Coturnix japonica: one gene and its partners. The protein of the gene in region 1 interacts with the protein of each later gene in a pairwise test. Links are inferred from orthologs where the notes say so. Each region holds a gene or a part of one and is shown in the gene's direction. Other genes may lie near its edges. The genes, in order: NEFL, TEX11, SKIL, USP2 and NME7.

Region 1 (4,378 bases):
AATGATATAAAAAAGACATATAAATAATAATGGACTACAATTATGACCCTTATTGTTATGAGATTTGGAGTGAAGGTATTGAAGGCTCAGAATTAAATTGGGAAGAGAGTAGTGTTAATCCATTGGCTTGATACAGAGCATGTCAGTTTGCACTTCTTGAGTATCCCAGAACTATTTGTTATTTAGAAGCTCATTGAATTTCCAAACAAACCTACTGTGAGTCTTCCCATCTGCTACAGTGCCTACGTTGCTCATTTACTTCCCCACGTGCTCTGCAATCTACACAATCTTACTGTGAAGGAGCAACGTGCGAGCTTTTATTTGCTCTTTGCACGCTTGATTCCATCCAACGTGAGCTCAAATGAGAAGAGATTACAGCTTTCTGCCTTTGAGGGGCCATTGCCTTACACAGCTTAATACACCTCACCATCAAGTACAGTGTAACCTATGGGAGTGATACTAAACAACAGGTAATATTCTGAGAGCACTAGAAGATAGAAAGGAACCCAATGAAACCATCCCTGCCTCGCTTTTATTATATGATTCACATTAAGCAAGCTTATCTTTATGCAAGAAATAACCTGAGCACCATTGCAATTGGTGACAGGTACACAGATTCTACTTCTTTCTCCTTTCCTTAGGGAGCAAGAGAAGGTTTTTGCAGTACTTCCTGCTAAGAAATGCTGCTTCAGCATTTGCTTCTTCCTTAAGCAAAACCTGGAAAGTGTATTGGACTAAAATTAGCCCTTCTAAGTCAGAGAGACAACATAGAGACAACGTACCACCACCTTTTGGGCTATGTTTCCCTATTTCATTTTTAAGATGCAATCTCTGCTGTGTAAATACTGTTTTATTCTTCTTAGCAGCTCATAACCTGGGCCAGGGGTAGCTGTGATGGAGCCATGCAGCTTTAGTCTCTGCTGTAGTCAGATTGTGCCAAATATTCAGACCTTATGCTCTAAATTTGCCCCTGTGAGTGTTTCAAAGGATGAAGCAAAGCTGAATAACCAAGAATTAATGCATTTTGCTGGTACAACAAACCACATACTGTCTTTTCTTTCACCATTACCTGGTCATTAGGAACCACTGCTAACAATGCACGTGGTGAGGACGGAGGGAGAAAGGCTGGAGCCTCGCTGGAACTGCAAACATAAAGGGGAAAGGAAGGTGAAATGAGCTATTTATACACACGTTCAGGGGTTTCTGAGGTACGAGAGGGGGTGATGAGGTACAGAGGGGTGATGGTTCAATATCGTGATCCGAGATGGGGCTTTGCAACCCCGGGGATCCATCAGAGCGGCACGAGAGAAAATAGCGATGTGGGGCGAATACGATGGAGCTGCAAAGTGAACGCAGCCCACCCGCTTCATCACCAGCTCTGATAATCATCCGGGCTCATCACAGACCCCCACCATTACAGCAGCCTCAACGCAGCGCTCCGCCCCATCCCCGCCCGGCTGTCGTTCCTCCCACCCTCCCCGTCCATAAATACCAGCGTTCGGGCGGTACCGGTCCGCAGAGCCCTCGCTGATCCCCTCTACAGCCATGAGCTCGTACGGCTACGACCCGTTCTTCCCCTCTTACAAGCGGCGTTATGCTGACAGCCCCCGGCTGCACGTCTCCGCGATGCGGAGCGGTGGTTACAGCTCAGCTCGCTCGGCGTATTCCAGCCTCTCCGCACCCGTCTCCTCCGTGTCTGTGCGCCGCAGTTACGCCACCTCCAGCGCTTCAGGCTCCCTCCTGCACTCGGTAGACAGCCTAGATCTAAGCCAGGTAGCCGCCATCAGCAACGACCTCAAGTCGATCCGTAGCCAAGAGCGGGCCCAGCTGCAGGATCTCAATGACCGCTTCGCTTGTTTCATCGAGCGGGTGCACGAGCTGGAGCAGCAGAACAAAGTGCTGGAGGCCGAGCTGCTGGTGCTGCGGCAGAAACACGCCGAGCCGTCCCGTTTCAGAGCCCTCTACGAGCAGGAGATCCGCGAGCTCCGCTTGGCCGCCGAGGAAGCGACGAGCGAGAAGCAAGCGCTGCAAGGAGAGAGGGAGAGCTTGGAGGAGACCCTGAGGGGGCTGCAGGCTCGCTACGAAGAGGAGGTGCTGAGCCGCGAGGATGCTGAGGCTCGACTGCTGGAGGTGCGCAAGGGAGCGGATGAAGCAGCGCTGGCACGAGCGGAGCTGGAAAAGCGCGTGGACAGCCTGCTGGATGAGCTGGCCTTCCTTAAGAAGGTGCACGAGGAAGAGCTGGCCGAGCTGCAAGCTCAGATCCAATACGCTCATCTGTCGGTGGAGATGGACGTGTCGGCCAAGCCCGATCTGTCGGCTGCGCTGCGCGATATCCGCGCTCAGTACGAGAAGCTGGCGGCTCGTAACATGCAGAACGCCGAGGAATGGTTCCGAAGCCGCTTCACTGTGCTCAGCGAAAGCGCTGCTAAGAACACAGACGCCGTCCGAGCCGCCAAGGATGAGGTATCCGAGAGCCGCAGGCTGCTTAAGGCCAAGACGCTGGAGATCGAAGCTACCCGTGGTATGAACGAAGCGCTGGAGAAGCAGCTGCAGGAGCTGGAGGAGAAACAGAGCGCTGATATCTCAGCGCTGCAGGTGAGTTGGTTTGAGGAGGCTGCGGATGCACAGCGATATCTCGTGGCATAGTGCAGCATTGTGGTCTGAGGCATCCTTAAGGATGCTGCTATAAATCGCCTTAACAGTAGGAAAAGCATTAAGGGGAATGCACATGCATCAAAAACCAGCAGCAAAACAAAGCACAGGCAGCTTTTTAGACCTTAAATAAGAGAATTAGTATAAATGCACTTAAAATATCCCGGTTAAACTAGGGGTAGATGTTAAAAAATCAAATAAAGCATGCACAGCTCATGGATTCCTTAGTGCTTAAATAATCAAATAGCTAGGAATTGGCTTAAAAATAGCATTAGTGCTAGAGAGAGCGTAAGGGAAAAGCACAGATGTCATAAATGAAGTGGGGTATATGCTGCTCATAGATGCTTCTGTCCTCAAATTGCAATGAATTCACTTAGCATTAGGAAAAGCATGAGGGGGAAGCGCAGTTGTCAATGAAGCATGCACAGCTCATGAATGCTTTAGCCCTTGAATCATAAGAAATGTTATTCCTTAAATGATAGGGAATGAAGCTATTGATAGAGATGTAGGGGTGGAAGATGTGCCAGCATTGCTAAGCAGTGTTGCTTTGTGCACTTTGGGATGTGGAGCTGTTCTCCTTCTATCAAGGTGAAGTGATGAGGGTGCTGGAATTCTTGCAAGCATTGTTGATATACACAAAGGTTTTTTGCATTGCTTGTGTTCTGCCTTCCAACAGGATACAATCAACAAACTAGAGAATGAATTGAGAACCACAAAGAGCGAGATGGGTCGGTACCTAAAGGAATACCAGGATCTGCTCAACGTCAAACTGGCCCTGGACATTGAGATTGCTACCTACAGGTATGATGGGGGAGGTGTTTCAATAAACCATAATGTGAATTAGGTTCTCCTTTTTATGCGTATTCCTACTTAGTTTTCCTCCAGCAGAGAGTGCCATTGGTGGCAGAATTTAATAAGATTTTCTCCTTGGCTTTCTATTTGGAAGAAGCAGCGCTTTTAAGGTAACAGCTTGTGTTAAACAGAATCTGTGCTGCATAGCAAACATGAACATCATACTGTTCATATATATATATATATGCATAGGGAATTAGGAACTCAGCTGTGTAATCTCAGTTCTCCATCTTTACAAGTAAAGTGTGTTCTTGTACCTAGGAGCTCAAATCTCTTCGCTCTACAATGCTTTTATATCATTAAGACTTGTTAATATAGGTGGCTTTATTCTCAGGACTTAAAATCCCTTAGACACCTTTAACAATGAGGTTTCTTTCTAACTCACAAGCTGTGCCTTGCTAAGCCATTATCTTACTAAAGAATTACTTTTAAATAGCAAAAAGAAATCATCCTGGATGCCAGTAAGTGCTGAAATGGTTTCTAAGAGCCCCACAGGGGGAATACTGAAGGTGGCTATAAACCTTGTCTTACAGTTAACTGTGGCATAGAGCTGTTACATCCATACTGTTGTCTGGAACAACATAGCTTATTGAAATACATCTGTATTTCTACCTGTTGTAGAAACCTAATCCTGGGGGTGTGTTCCCCATTGTTTCTCCCAATGAGAAGTACTGATTCCAAAGTAATACACAACTCTGAAGCTTTAAAATTTTCCCAAGATCAGGCTGCTATTGCTGTACCATTAATATGGTTATATTTGCACTCCTGAGTATGCAGCCTCTAGAGCTTGTGCTGCTCAAAGCATATTGGCCCATAGCTGAGTCTGCAGCATAGCTAAGGCATCTGCTTGCTTGTTCTTTCTGCTAGGAAACTG
Region 2 (3,620 bases), on another chromosome or scaffold:
CGTTACTTTCTTGCAGTGAGATTTGTTGCTTGCAGGCTGGTGTACCTTTGTGAAGGCAGCGATCCTCCAGAGGGAACCATTCGGAGGCAGATTTTGGTAAGGCTGATGGCAGGTGAGCAGTGAAGTACAGCTGGTGGCTGTGGGAAACCTTGGAAACCTATTGCAGTTACTTTGGAAAGTGAGTGAGAGATGCCTGTAAATTATGGAAAGTGAGTGAGAGAAGATAACATGCTGAAGGTGGGCCCGTGTTATCAAAGGGATGCCTTGCTGAGTCAATGCAGTTAGCACCACATCTTTGTCGTGTGTTAAGACGTTGTAAGAGCAGCACGTTCATTTATTTCAGTATCTTACAGTGTTGTATAGTGGAGCACCTTAAGCCTCGTGCTGCAAGTAGAGTTAATTCAGATGTGAGAGACACTTGTGACAAACTGAAGAGCTGGAATACCTCTCACCTACACTATATATATATCAGTAAGAAGGGATTTAACACTGGCTGTCCTGGAAGTGATTGGATTTTCACAAAGCACCAATCATTTTCTCCTTCAGATGTCGATGAAAACTGGTAAAGGGTGGATAGATATTGGCAAAGCTGATCTTGCTGATGGTTTCCTAGAGATTGCTATAAATGTAAGTTCTTTTCTGATTCTAGTTCTTCATAAACACACCTATTTGTGACCTCCATGGGGTGATGCTTAAGCTTTGTTTTCCAGAGCATAGAAAAACTGTATGCGAAATTACGTAAGGAGGGCAATGGTGAAGCAGATATTCATGTGTGCAAAGCTGACGTGGAGAAGGACCTCTTCAAAGTGCTCTCTTATCAGGCTGAATCGGTACGTGTTCCTCCCAGCTCTCTTTATAAATCCCTAGGGGGGTATGGAGAGAAACTCTGACCCGTTAATTAGTTGTATGAATGCATGGCACTGCAGGCTTGCTGAAGGATATATTTCCTTTGGTTAGATGTAAGGTATCAGATGTGATGTTTGAATGTGGTGTTGCAATAATGTAATGGGTTTTAATTTGCCTAATTTATCGCAGTCATTTCTGCTGCCTTGTTTATATCTTCTCGTTCAGATTTGTTGCTCTGTAATTTGGGTGTTTATACAACAGCTGCCTTTCTGAATCACGTGTCAATTCCAAAGGTGACCTGTGCTTGCCCAAGGAAGGGGATAGAACTGCCTTAGAGCCTAGGTCCCTATAACTGCTTTTGTGTAGCATGTACACAGCACAATTGGTCATTTCAAAGCACTCCTCAGACTGTGCTGGGATTTGCAACTAAACTGTTTGAAAAGCAAAAGAAGGTGCTGGTGGTGGTTCATGTCTGACAAGCAGATGTTCTGAGCCACAGCTCCAGAGTTTTCTCTACCTTACAAGTTTCTTGACTCTTATGAGCAATATAATCAAAGGTATTACTGTTCAATGTTGTTGGATAGAAACCTTCCTATACATGGATACCCTCCTTTCCATGAACCCCAATACATGCTGCTTTTCACATATAAAGGCCTTGAAACAGTGGGAGAATGGGTAGAAAAAGGCAATATTTGAAAATAATGAGTTCCATGACATTTGAAATTCTCCTTAAAGTCTCAGCCTCTGTCATCATACAACGAGGTAGGAATTATGATTGATAATTTAAAGATAGAAGTCTAGCTGAATGTGAGAGGTTTCAAAATATGCTGAGTGTTTTCCAGGGGATCAGTAAGGCAGATTAAATCAGAAATTCTGTGTTTTGAGAGGCATTGTCCTGATTTTTGCTGCCTGACTGAAGCTTCTGAGTACTTTGTCAACACTGCAGACTATTATGGACGTATGGGTGTAAATATGAGATAATTCAGCTGCTTCCATTTGCTGATAGCAGCGCTGATCTCAGAATCCAGAAGGGGAGCACTGTCTTCAAAACAATGAAGAGCTTCCCCAAACAGACCAAATCAGTGGCCAGAATTTTTCATTTAATTTCTAGTTGATAATGGAGACAAAAGAGAATCACTCAGAATGACCCGGGTTGGAAGGGACCTCAAGTATCATGTAGTTCCAACCCCCCTGCCTAGCAGGGCCACCAAACATACACCTTTACTAGATCAGGTTGCCCATGGCCCCGTCCAACCTGGTCTTGAACACCTCCAAGGACGGGGCATCCACAACCTCCCTGGGCAGCCTGTTCCAGGGCCTAACCACTCTCCTAGTGAAGAAAAAGAGGACCTTACATTACTGGAAAGGTGTTGCAAGATTTGTTAAGCTGGCCAAGATTTGCTGTTATCTGACATCTGTTTGAATCAGTGCCACGGATCTGACCTTTTCACACTACCTGTGGGCTGCAGGGCCCTCCTGGATGCCTTTCAGTGTGTAAAAGTGTACTGAACTATTGTAGCACCATAAGGACAGATGTCTGATCTCAAACTTGGCTGTACTGAATGCAAAAAAAGGCCTACAATCCAAGTCTTTTTTTTTAGACACCCAGTCTTGTAACAGATTTTAGAGGCAAGTAGTTAACTTACAGATTGTTGGCGTGCTCTGCTTTCCTAGGCAGTTGCTCAGGGGGATTTTCAGAAAGCAATGCAATGTGTGCAGCGCTGCAAGGACATGTTGGTGAGGCTGCCAAGAGAGGTTAGTGAAATCATACCTTCTTTATCATGCCAAACTTTGAAGGTCTATTTTCCTCCCCATACATTAAAGAATGACATATGCTACATTACAGAACTGTTTCTTTGGGATTTTCTTAACTGCAAGTTTTGTGTAGAAGTGATGAGGTTTTTTTTCATTCCAAGTTTTGAGTTTTTCCATTTGCTCATAGATTATCATTTGAAATAGAACGATAAAACCTTCCTAACGAATGTGTGAAGGCAAATATCCAAGACAGGCAAAAGGATTTCTAAATAGAGTATGACAGTCAAACAGCTGTGCCTCTTGATCTTGTGTCTTGCTTCTTTGCTTTTACCGGTGAACTTTTGTCTGGAAACAGGTGTGCCCAGAGATGAGCTGAGCTGCTGGGCTTTTGATATGCAAGTCTACCCTCAGTACTAATCTTCATGTTAATGAAGCTGCAGAGCTATGGGAACGCTCACTGCTCAGAGAGCTGCCAGGTTTATGGGAGTGCTTTGTGTTATGCACCATGCCTGAAATACAGTCGTTCACTCTGTTTTAGTTATGAGAGCGATCATTTTTTTTTTTTTCACCCGCACTGAATCTGTGCTTTTGTCTCTGGATTGCAATGAGGTCAGAAATAAATCAGTTTAAAGCAAGATGCTGTTCTCCAGCTCTCATTCTTGGCTGAGGGTTTGAATTCCCTTGCAAGGAGCACGTTTTGTACTTTGAAAAGACAGTTACCACGGAGGCGAAATGGATGCAAATATTAGCAGTCTGCTAGCATTGAAAATGCTTTTCTGTCTCCTCTTTGGACAGCTGTGAACATGACAGTTGCAAATCATTTCTGCTGAAAGACGAGTTGTTATGAACAGATACTGTCAGGCCTGACTGATAAAGCAGAAAGCAATGGTACTCTGAATAACCACGCATTCAGTCTGAATAACCAAGCATTCAAACACATATTTCTCCTCGATCTGGTGGTGTGGATCATCCTTTTATAATGCAAAGGTGCATGCTGGAAAAAAAGGGCTGTCATGCAG
Region 3 (3,620 bases), on another chromosome or scaffold:
CGAATCTTTGCAAACCGAACACGCTCAAAGAATGGAAGAGTTTTATTTTGAGCAGAGAGACTTGGAGAAGAAATTGGACCAAATGATGAAGCAGAAGTGTACCTGTGACTCCAGTTCAGAGAAAGACAAGGAAGCAGAATATGCAGCACAGGTGAGAAGGGAAAGTCTGTTTCAAACCAAATCATGTTTAGTGCGTGAGTGAATATGAAGTTATTGCTCATCAACTGCAAGGTTTCGTCTTCTCCATCTTAGTCACAGCGATAGCAGATTTACTTCCTTGTCCCTTGATTGAGACAGAGCTAAAATGTAGCTTATAGAAACATGTCGCCTGTCAGATGTTAGGATTTTCTTTGTCAGATATTTGTATGATATGACTGATTAAATAGTTAAACATAAGGATTATGACATTCTAAGCAAGTCACGTTTAATGTATATAAGCTTGTCCGTGTTATAGAACTAAGCACAATTGCTTTGGCTATAGAAACGTGTTGAAGTACATTGTACTGCACTTCTGTACGTTGCACAGAAAACAGTCTTTTGAAACAAACAAAATCTTAAACTTAAGCTTTACGGTCACAATTATAGTTCTGTATATTTGCTGTTCATACAGTCTTAAAATAAGAAACAGGTTCTACTTGAGATACAGGTTTTTGTATTTTTAGGGAGTAGGGCAGAGACTAGCACCATAAATCCTTCTCATGAATTTAATTTCATGACATCCCACTCCACGGATTCCTGGCCTTTGCTGCCAGAAGTAATCCTCTCTGACTAAGGTCTGATTTACCAAACATCTGGTACAAGCCCTGTTACTGCAAGTAACAACATGTTCTAGTTGATGATCATGTGTAGCGTGTTTTATATGGCTTGTCTAGCATATACTTTCTTTAGAGGATAAAAACAATGGATTGTTCTCCAAGGAGTTTGGATGATTTTTTCTTTTGATGTTAGAATGCTAAATGTATTCCTCCCATGAAAGTTTATCCTGTTATTAGTTGTACTGTAGAGCTACTTGGAACATGTCATTGGAATCTTTTTCTCCATTTATCACATCTTACAGTACACTTTGGATCATGGGTTCCAAGCAGTTGTCAGCTGTACCTGAGTTAAACAGAGGTCGTGACAACAGTTATTTTCCCCAAGCTGCATATATTGCATTTAAAATAGCCTTAATGTGATGTTTTCTTGAAGCCAGCTGCCCTCTCTGAGAACTGTGGACTGGGAAAAGCCTTCATTGTACATTAAATGAAATTAATAATAGGGGATTTGGAGTTTTGGTAAACATTTGTTCTTCTGTCCAGGCCTGTCTGAAGGTGCACGAAGTGTTCCCCCTTTTTTCAGTCCTTTACTGACTTACCCGGTTTAATTGTTGCTTTACCCCATCAGTCACAATAGGGCAGTATAACCAGTACTTAAGCCTTTCTTTATAGGTGAAAACAAAAGCTCCACCACAGACATGCTGATTTTGTATTGCGTGCTGTGACATGCAGGCAATGGGCATTGCTGTGCTGCACCAGTCTGCATCTAAGTAGTGGAGTCAGAAGACTCACATTAATAGGCTCATGCTGTCTGAAAGCTACTTACATTCAATGAATGTTCATCTTGTATAAGGAGAAGTATTTTTCTGTAAAATTGATACAGGAGTTCCTTTTCTCACTGCACTTTACAGCAAACAGCAATGTTTTTATGTGCTTCTGCACTTCTTTGCTGTCATGAGCTGTCTTTTATCAGCGAGATGTACACGTAGTGATTATTCAGATGGAAGCCCAACATCGTAAGTGCAGAAGGATTTTAGATTCAGTGAGGTCTTTTCTTAAGAAACAACTACTTAAACCCATGGTAGAGAAGATAAGTGGCTTTCGTCTTCCTGTTGTGACTGCTGGTGGTATACATATAAGCAACTTGGCAGTAACTTTGCCACACTTGAAAGATTCATCTGAGTTGTATTGTGAAGAAGTTTTGGTGGGAAAGAACAGACCCTAATAAATTCAAAGTAGTTTCTTATTATTAATACAAGGTATGGTATTTATATGCATATACAAACAGTGGTTGTTAAGCTGTTTTTTGGTTTTATTTTAATGATTCCATTTTGTAAATGGTTCAGCTGAGATGACTAATGTTCTGAATCATTGGGGTTTACCACTGATTTTCTACTGTGTAGTTACTTGGTTCAGTCTGAAAGTCCAGCTTTAATAAATTAGACTCAAACAACTGAACACATCACACGTGGGATTAACACTCTTCTGCTGATGCCGTTAGTGGTTTGACAGTCTCATGCAAAACTCTTTGCTTTACTCTCTATTATATTGCACAAATATTTTTGTTAAAATTAAATCCTTCTCCTCTATCTTACAGCTAGCAGAACTGAGACAGAGGCTGGACCACGCAGAGGCAGATAGACAGGAGCTTCAGGATGAACTGAGACAAGAACGAGAGGCGAGGGAGAAGTTAGAGATGATGATAAAAGAATTGAAGCTGCAGATCTTGAAATCTTCAAAACATGGAAATGGAAAATAGAAATTGGAAGACGAGTGTGACTGTGTCCTTCAAACAGGGTGTTTCGTTTTTTAACGAATTGTAAGCAGTTTCTGTGTGATAAGAAGTATTCTCTACAGATTTCTATTTGCCATACAAATGCAGATGAATATATATATATATAAGAAGATAGATAGGTACGCGTTTTTAGATTTTCCTAACCAATGGAAATCTGCATTTATTTGTACTGGTGTTTCTCAAACTAGGAGAAAATAAGAAACTTCTGATTTAGAGTGACCAGTTTCTGTTTAGTTCTAATGCAGCCCTTGAGGACCCTGTACCTTTTAACACTGTCTGTTAAAACAGATTTGGTGATCCGTATTTTACTATCGATTTCACACCCGGTTATAAAAGTACTTTAAAAAAAAAATCTTAATTTCTTCAAGGCCAAAAATAGTTGAGTTTTCAGTGAGAATTTTGTCTTCCTTAAACTGGGGAAAGTCGAAAGGCAGATGTGAGGTAATCCTCAAAATCACCATGACAATGGATGGATGATTATCAGAAGTGATTTACCGGCATGAGTTTTCCATAATTCTGTTACGTGAAGTCAAGCTAACTTATTCAGTAAACAGTTTTGGAGCAGGTGTTTGGTCACCGTGCTGGAAGAACAAAACAATTAGAGGTTGGTAGCTATAGGACAAGGGGCAGTGATTTGAAGTTGAAAGAAAGTAGAATTTATTTGTTGGCTAATGGTGAGACCCTGGAGCACGTCGCCCAACAAAGTGTTGAGTACCTCATCACTGTAAGTGTTCAAAGTGAGGTTGGACGGCGCTTTGTGCAACCTGATCTGGTGGAGGGTGTCCCTCCATGTCCCATGGCACAGAGGTAGCAGCTAGATGATCTTTGACTGTCCCTTCCAGCACAGACTTGTGGATTCCATGGCTTGCCTGGTTTTCAGATACTAATGCTTCCAAGGAAAGTAATATTTATTAAAAGAAACAAAAAAAAAGTACTGGTTTATTTAGTATCTGAAGCCTCTACACTTTAAGCTTCCTTTTAACTTGTGAATTTTTCTTTCTATACATGGAACAGGCCTTAACTGACATTGTGATAATTGCTTAGAAAAATAGAATTCTAAGATATGGCAC
Region 4 (3,620 bases), on another chromosome or scaffold:
CCGCTCTCTGTCCCCTGTCCCCCTCCCGCAGTGCAGCCTCAGGGACTCCCCAGCCACCGCCGCTGCCGCGTGAGCCAGCTCTGCTCTGCCTCCTATGAGCCCAGCCGTGTCCTAGATAAAGCCCCGGCCGGGCGAGGGGGATTAGCTGGAGTTGAGTCACCCAGGGAAGGGAAAACGTGAGGGGGAAATCTGACCTTGGTGCAGCCACGGCCACGGCATTGGGGTTCTTGTGCATCCTTACCCCATGGAAAGGGATGGGGGCTGTGGGGCCGCTGGGCCAGCTCCGTGCTGCGGGCATGGTTTGCATGCAGAGCCACGTGTGCCCGGCATGGGGCACCTGGGTGCCCATCGGTGCTGTGCCCCTGCTCTGGGTGATGCCTGCAGCATCGCTATGGCACACGTGTAACTGTATCTGGGTTATTTTGGGCTGCTGTCAGGGCTGGGTGCTCAGCACCTCCCACACGCGCACCAGCTGCTGCTATTTTAGAGCTGACGAGCCCCCTCCTCTCCTCCTCCTCCCCCAACTCACGCCTGGGGGTGGACCGGGAGTTGTGGCTGTGATGGGTGCAGGTCGGGAGGTTCGCCCTGTCAACGCCTTCTCTGGACTTTATCCCACAATACAGCCATGCTTCTGGAGGGTGGCACATGTATGGGGTGCCCTGGAGGGATGGGCAGCAGCAGGACACCCCATTGAGCCATAGGGCAGGCATGGAGCACAGCCACCCCCGGCTTCCCAGGGCATAGGGTTGGCAGGGAGAGGCAGGGGGTGGCCAGTGTAGCCTGCAGGGCATAGGGCAGCAAGAAGGACTTTGAGCCTTGGGAGTCATCCCAGGCCAGGCAGCTGGGTGAGCAATGGGTCCTCAGGCTTCTCCTATGCATGGCAGTGCCAAGAGCGCCCCAAATGCCCCCACATGCCCATGTGGGGCTGCCCCACAGGGGTGCTGGTGGCCCCACGGGCTGCTCACAGGCAGCCTGTCACAGCCCTGCTCCTTCTCTCTGCAGAGCTCCAAGGCGGTGCAGGGACTGACTGGGCTGCGGAACCTCGGCAATACGGTGAGTGCTCATCCCCTTCTGTAGGCACAGCCCCAGCCCACAAAGTGCCATTCTATGGGCACATTAAGGACCCCAGCATCCAGTGGTGCAGGTGGACAAACCCTTCCCCACTCTCCCCCCTGCTCTGTCCCCATCTCCTGCCCACCCGCCCCAAGGTCCCCCCCTGTCACCACCCGCCTCCCTCCCTCCGCCTCACGTTGCCATGGTTTTCTGCCTCCCCCAGTGCTTCATGAACTCCATCCTGCAGTGCCTGAGCAACACCAAGGAGCTGCGGGATTACTGCCTGCAGAACCAGTACCTGCGGGACCTCAACAACAACAGCCGCATGCGCACCGCGCTCATGTCAGGTATCAACAGTGGGGTTGGGGGTGGAGGGGGGCAGGATGGGGACAGCAGTGGGGCTCATTCCCCCTCCCCATATCGCTGAGCTTCCTTTCTGTACGCAGAGTTTGCAAAGCTGATCCAGCTGCTCTGGACCTCATCCCCCAATGACAGCGTGAGCCCTTCCGAGTTCAAGACGCAGATCCAGAGATACGCCCCACGTTTTGTTGGATACAAGTAGGGACCGGCGGTGTGGGGCTGGTAATGTGGGTCTCATGGGGGTCTCACATCCGTCTCCTTTTGCCTTACAGCCAGCAGGATGCACAAGAGTTCCTGCGCTTCCTCCTGGATGGGCTGCACAGTGAGGTGAACCGTGTGCTGGTGCGGCCACGAGCCAGTGCTGACACCCTGGACCACCTCCCGTAAGTGTGGGGTGGGCAGTGGGGTGGGGGCTGGATGCCTGGAGGTCCCAGCATTGCTCAGCAGCTCTGTCCCTCTGTCTCATAGTGATGATGAGAAGAGCCGCCAGATGTGGCGGAGGTACCAGGAGCGGGAGGACAGCCGTGTTACTGGTGAGTATATGGGGAGGGGAGGGGGCAGGCAGGGGGCTGGGGCTGGGGGTCTCACCCTTCTCCATCCTTTCGCCCCCAGATCTCTTTGTTGGGCAGCTGAAGAGTTCGCTGACCTGCAGCGAATGCGGCTACTGCTCCACAGCCTTTGATCCCTTCTGGGACCTCTCCCTGCCCATCCCCAAGGTGAGGTGCTATTCCCTGTCCCCCCACCCCACACATTGTGCCCCATACCCTGTGCCCCTGACTGTGCCCTCCTCCTACAGAAAGGCTACGGGGAAGTCACCCTGATGGACTGCCTGCGGCTCTTCACCAAAGAAGACGTTCTGGATGGGGATGAGAAACCGGTACGGGGTGTGGGATGGGGGCACAGGGAGTTAATGGGTGTAGGATGGGATCTCACCGTACTGCTCACTGCCTGCAGACGTGTTGTCGCTGTAAAGCCAGGACGCGGTGCACGAAGAAATTCAGCATCCAGAAGTTCCCCAAGATCCTGGTGCTCCGTATCCTTTGTACTGATAAATGGGGTTGGTGGGGCTGGCATGGGGTGGCAGCTCTTTGCAGGCTCCCTATTGCTCCCCATTTCCTTGACATGGGACCCCCTCCAGACCTGAAACGCTTCTCAGAATCCAGGATACGAGCCAGCAAACTCACCACCTTTGTCAACTTCCCACTGAAGGACCTGGACCTGAGGGAGTTCGCCTCGCAGAGCTGCAGTAAGTGCTGGTGCTGGGAGGGCAGAGCTCAGAGCTCACGTGTGGGCACCACTGATCCTCACCCTGTCCCCACAGACCACGCTGTTTACAACCTCTATGCCATCTCCAACCACTCGGGCACCACCATGGGGGGACACTACACTGCCTACTGCAAGAGCCCCATCTCCAGCGAGTGGCACAGCTTCAATGATTCCCGGTGAGGCTGCGCAGGTGGCACGGGGAGGGGGGACCTCGTGTGGGCACCCCATTGCTCATAGTGCATCTCCTTGTATCTCTGCAGCGTCACCCCGATGTCCTCCAGCCACGTGCGCAGCAGTGATGCTTACCTGCTCTTCTACGAGCTGGCCAGCCCATCCTCACGCATGTAGCCAGTCCTTGGGCACCCCTTGGAGCTTCCTAGCTGGATTTGGGCACCCCAAGAACAGCAGAAAGCCCCATAATGAGGGCAGAACCCAGGCAGCCCCGGTGCCTCTGGGCCGCTGGCATTTGCTTTTTACCCTGGGGTAGGTTTTTCTTCATTCTTTCTGGTGTGTAATAAAAATACTGAGCAAGGGGCCTGGGGCTGCCTGCCCCCACCAGGACCTCGGGGACACCCAAAATTGGGTCCCTTCTGGCATCTCCATATCACTCTGCCATCCCTGAGGATCCACGAGCCTCCTCCCAGCTCTTCCAAACCTCCTGGTGAGGATTGCAGCTCTTTGGTTGCCTCCATCCCACCTCCATCTGCTTTCCAATCAGCCCCGGACTCACAGCCAAGAGGGAGGACAATGCTTCATGGATTTTCTTTCTATTTATCATGGACTTCTCTCAGCCTGGACCATCCCTCCTGGCTGCCCAGGGACTCACGCCAGGGGGGGGCTGACCCACCTCCTTATACGACGGTGCCTTAAACCATTTCGGGGCACGGGAGGCCCTTGGGGTGCACAGGGATGTCCGTCCTATGGGGGGTGGGGGGGTGGGC
Region 5 (3,620 bases), on another chromosome or scaffold:
ATATGTATCAAGTGAAAAGATGTCCCCAGCTGCACTAAGCAAATGATGGTGTGCAAGTGCATTCAATAATGATATATTTTTTTAACTTTTCTGATAATAAATGCAAGGAAATGGTACAGTTTATTAAGTGTATGATTACTTCAGTAGCCTTCCCTTTTGTTTTTGCAGAGTCAAGATGACAGATTTGCTTTCACTGCTGAATGGTATGACCCGAATGCTTCACTCTTTCGGCGTTACGAGCTTCTGTATTATCCAAAAGATAGCTCAGTTGAAATGGTAAGAATAAAAAAGTCTGTAATTTTAAATATATTACTCAATTAAGCTATTTATAAAATGGACCACTGCCATTTGTTTTTCCAGGTAATTAAGTTGTAGTTTAAGACATAAGTCTGTTTTTCAAACTAGAAGAAAAACAAATGTGCTAGTTCATAGTGGAGCACATGCAAGAGCTGCCATGTTAACGAGTTTTATCTTAAGCTTGGAGCATTTCATTTTCACAGATCTGTTTTTATTTAATCTTTTCTTGGATTTAAGTATTGGAACTCAGCACCATCAACCTACTGCAGGAACAAATTGAAGGTGATTCCTAACAAGAGTAGGCTTCAGTTAGAATTCTAGAAGCCTCTGAAGCATTAACTGTAAACAACTTCTATCAAAGTGAAGGAAACGGTAAACTAATTTGGTTTTAATGCATGAAAGGATGTTTCTGAGAATGGAATACAAATTTTTCCCCTTATTGGTGCTTGTATGGACCTTTCTGATTTTATGGTACATTTAACTAAGCCTTCTAACAATAAAAAAAAAATGAAGATAAAACAAGCATATAGTACAGATAATCCTGTACAGGTAATCCAACAAAATAGCCAATGCTTTGTGCTCCCCTTTTGAATGAATTAATGATTATTTATTCTTTTACTAGTCTTTTCTAGATTTTAATGAGCATATGAAGGTCTAAGAATAGCCTAAATTTGTGTATTCACATCTATTAATTTCAGTATAGTTCTTAAACTTTCTTGCCTTACACATCAAACACAGAAACAACAGAACTATCAGAATCTACCTTTTCTTACTTTTCTTATCCAAACTATTGCTTACTGAAACCACGGTACCCATCTGTGTGAGGAGATGCACTTTGCACTTTTTACTGATAGTCTCTTTAAACAAACTCCACCATGATGTTGTCCCTTTTAAGTTAGTTATTTGTATGATATGTGTGCACAGTTGTCAAAACGTGAGGATTTTTTTTTCTTAGACACAGTTAAGCTAATCAGTCAGAAGCCGTAATAATCTTCCTACACAGCCATGTGTAGGCTGACAAAATTGTTGTTCATTTCTCCTGGATGTCTCAAAACCAAGAGCTTTCAAGGTGCTTTTGGCTGTCTTAGAGCTTTATGCATCAAACATCTGCAACTTGGTAGGTTCTTATATTTAGTCAGTTGTGTTCTCAGGGTTGAGGTAGTGTGTGTATGCAGTCATGAGTTTGCATGGACTGCGTGTGATCAATATAACTGCTAAAAAAGCAAAAATGCATGTAGAATCTCTGCAGAAGGAATTCTACAAGATCAGTTTGGAGGTGAATTGTAGACAGAAATTACATTTGAGATTATCTTCTGGATTTATTTATGGTTTTGAAAACTTATTTGGAGTTTGGCATTTTTTTTTCTTCTTCATTACTGCAAAATTCTTCTGGATCTTTTGTATCTTCCCGAGGAGATGGCAGCTGCTCACTTTACCTCTAGTACATTGTCAGAGAAGAAAGGTAATGGACGAGAGCCGGCTTCTCTCTGCTTATGAGAGAGCAGTTGCATCACCTTTCTCTCACCTCTGCAGTGATAACTTTCCTTTGTACATGCTTCAGCTGAAAGTGGAATAGAGCTGTTGGACATTGATGTTATGTGAAGTTCTCAACTTCCCATTTCTTTCTTGCTCCTTCCCGTGAAGGAAAAATACAGTGGAAATAATGCAACCAGTTTCCTGCTTGCTTTGCATCCGTTAGAAAGCAGCACAGGTTTTTGTCCAGGGACAGCAAGCAACCATTTGTGATCAGACTGGGTACTTAGACAGAGCCATCTCCAACTATCCAAGTTTTCCATAGTTAATAACTATGATTCAGTTAATAGGACTCTTCTTGAAACTGAAGAGCACTGAGCTGGAGCATGTAGGTGAGAGCTAAGGATGATTTTATTATGGAATCCTGCTTAGAAAGTATCAAATAAAAAAAAAAGTTTAGCCTGAAGAGGACAAAACTTTTCTAAGATTGTTTCTCCAAGAAATTGAAGGGATCTGTAATATTTACTTGTAGCAGGGAAGAAACTGTTTGTGAGGTTGTCTTTTGTGCTTTAGCAATCCACCCAGAAAATCTCACATTAATGTCTTCCTTCTTGCTCAGAATGTCCATACATAGCTGAATCGTCTTGACAGGCTTTTGAGCTTGCAGCTCTAGGCAGTTGAGAACTTCTCAACGTAGTGCTGCAGCCATCCATCCATCCTTAATTCAGAGTTTTAAGCAGTCAAATAAAGCATAATATCACTGGAACAGTGCCCTGAAGAGGAGACCTGCCACAGTGTGTATTATGATCACTACTGCTTCAAACCATTGGCCTGTGAAACAACATGGACTTGCTGGAGGGGGTGGGGGATTCTCATTGAGACTGGGTAGAGATATCCACAAGGGATGTGAAGCATCTATCATAGTTGGAATTAGCACAAGCAAGTAATAAAAACTGTGAAGACAGCCATCACCCTGAGACTATTTAACTGGAACAAATGTGTGGTTTTATCCTCTAAGCATTCCTGGTGCACGTGCAAGTTCACAGGGTTAAGAATTAAATCAATTTAATGATCAGATTAAATCCCACAGAGCTATGGAAATTTCTGAAGGGAAAGTAAGAATTACGTGGAGTTTGCCAACAGCTTAAGATCTCTTGCTGTAGTAGGTTCTAATCTTCTTTTGTCTGCAGTATGATGTGAAGAACCATCGTACCTTTCTGAAGCGCACCAAGTATGAGAGCTTACACCTTGATGATCTGTTTGTGGGCAACAAAATTACTGTGTTTTCCCGTCATCTTTCCTTAGTGGACTATGGGGATCAATATACAGCGCGCAAGCTAGGGGGCCGCAAAGAGAGGTAAGAAAACCTGTTGTTTTTTTAAGTCTTCCTTTGTGACTGGGGTAGTTGTTCTTTGCTGGAAATGAGGTAAGATTCCTGTACCGTGGGAAAAGGAGGAATTAGTCACAAGTCTGCATGAGGTTTGGAGTCATCTGGCATACTGTTAGCTGGAGGGAAACAGTTCCCTGCTTGTGGGCAAACCTACCATTATCCCTCCCACCTGATACATCTTCAAGGCCAGTTTATCTGTGGTGTCGCATGTTGCATCCTCCAGATTTCTCTGAAGAGAAAAGGTAGAGAAGGCAAACATGGGCCCCAGCTCAGCTTTCCTACTCCCTGTAGGGCCAGTAGAAATAGTATTCTTGTGATTTGTGGATTCTCTCAGTGCAGTATTGGTGTTGTAACCTTAATGGGTGCTGGCTAGAATCCTTCAAAATGGTCTTCTCCCTCCCTGCAGTCTGTGCAGAAAGCTAGTACCTTATCAAATGCATCTACCCTGTATTGTCATTAG

The links.
Region 2: the proteins of NEFL (region 1) and TEX11 interact in a two-hybrid assay, tested with the Homo sapiens proteins (2 studies listed by BioGRID and IntAct). The two-hybrid records come from large-scale screens. The link is inferred for Coturnix japonica from reciprocal best matches to the Homo sapiens genes NEFL and TEX11.
Region 3: the proteins of NEFL (region 1) and SKIL interact in binary tests that used the Homo sapiens proteins (3 or more experiments, as listed by UniProt). The link is inferred for Coturnix japonica from reciprocal best matches to the Homo sapiens genes NEFL and SKIL.
Region 4: the proteins of NEFL (region 1) and USP2 interact in binary tests that used the Homo sapiens proteins (3 or more experiments, as listed by UniProt). The two-hybrid records come from large-scale screens. The link is inferred for Coturnix japonica from reciprocal best matches to the Homo sapiens genes NEFL and USP2.
Region 5: the proteins of NEFL (region 1) and NME7 interact in binary tests that used the Homo sapiens proteins (3 or more experiments, as listed by UniProt). The two-hybrid records come from large-scale screens. The link is inferred for Coturnix japonica from reciprocal best matches to the Homo sapiens genes NEFL and NME7.

Annotation. Positions count from the first base shown.
Region 1 is NC_029537.1:2,098,579-2,102,956, forward strand, and holds the start of NEFL (neurofilament light polypeptide), read left to right. Parts: upstream 1-1,496; 5' UTR 1,497-1,545; coding exon 1,546-2,595; intron 2,596-3,328; coding exon 3,329-3,496; 3' UTR 3,497-4,378. UniProt on the Homo sapiens protein: Neurofilaments usually contain three intermediate filament proteins: NEFL, NEFM, and NEFH which are involved in the maintenance of neuronal caliber.
Region 2 is NC_029519.1:2,399,076-2,402,695, forward strand, and holds part of TEX11 (testis-expressed protein 11), read left to right. Parts: intron 1-16; coding exon 17-96; intron 97-546; coding exon 547-627; intron 628-710; coding exon 711-830; intron 831-2,520; coding exon 2,521-2,601; intron 2,602-3,620. UniProt on the Homo sapiens protein: Regulator of crossing-over during meiosis. Involved in initiation and/or maintenance of chromosome synapsis and formation of crossovers.
Region 3 is NC_029524.1:17,510,128-17,513,747, reverse strand, and holds part of SKIL (ski-like protein), read left to right. Parts: coding exon 1-151; intron 152-2,352; coding exon 2,353-2,514; 3' UTR 2,515-3,620. UniProt on the Homo sapiens protein: May have regulatory role in cell division or differentiation in response to extracellular signals.
Region 4 is NC_029539.1:3,563,920-3,567,539, forward strand, and holds part of USP2 (ubiquitin carboxyl-terminal hydrolase 2), read left to right. Parts: intron 1-1,002; coding exon 1,003-1,053; intron 1,054-1,276; coding exon 1,277-1,400; intron 1,401-1,499; coding exon 1,500-1,611; intron 1,612-1,685; coding exon 1,686-1,796; intron 1,797-1,881; coding exon 1,882-1,946; intron 1,947-2,025; coding exon 2,026-2,129; intron 2,130-2,209; coding exon 2,210-2,290; intron 2,291-2,367; coding exon 2,368-2,446; intron 2,447-2,551; coding exon 2,552-2,659; intron 2,660-2,734; coding exon 2,735-2,855; intron 2,856-2,939; coding exon 2,940-3,027; 3' UTR 3,028-3,620. UniProt on the Homo sapiens protein: Hydrolase that deubiquitinates polyubiquitinated target proteins such as MDM2, MDM4 and CCND1. Isoform 1 and isoform 4 possess both ubiquitin-specific peptidase and isopeptidase activities.
Region 5 is NC_029516.1:74,973,256-74,976,875, forward strand, and holds part of NME7 (nucleoside diphosphate kinase 7), read left to right. Parts: intron 1-168; coding exon 169-276; intron 277-2,960; coding exon 2,961-3,127; intron 3,128-3,620. UniProt on the Homo sapiens protein: Possesses an intrinsic kinase activity. Displays 3'-5' exonuclease activity with a preference for single-stranded DNA. Does not seem to have nucleoside diphosphate kinase activity.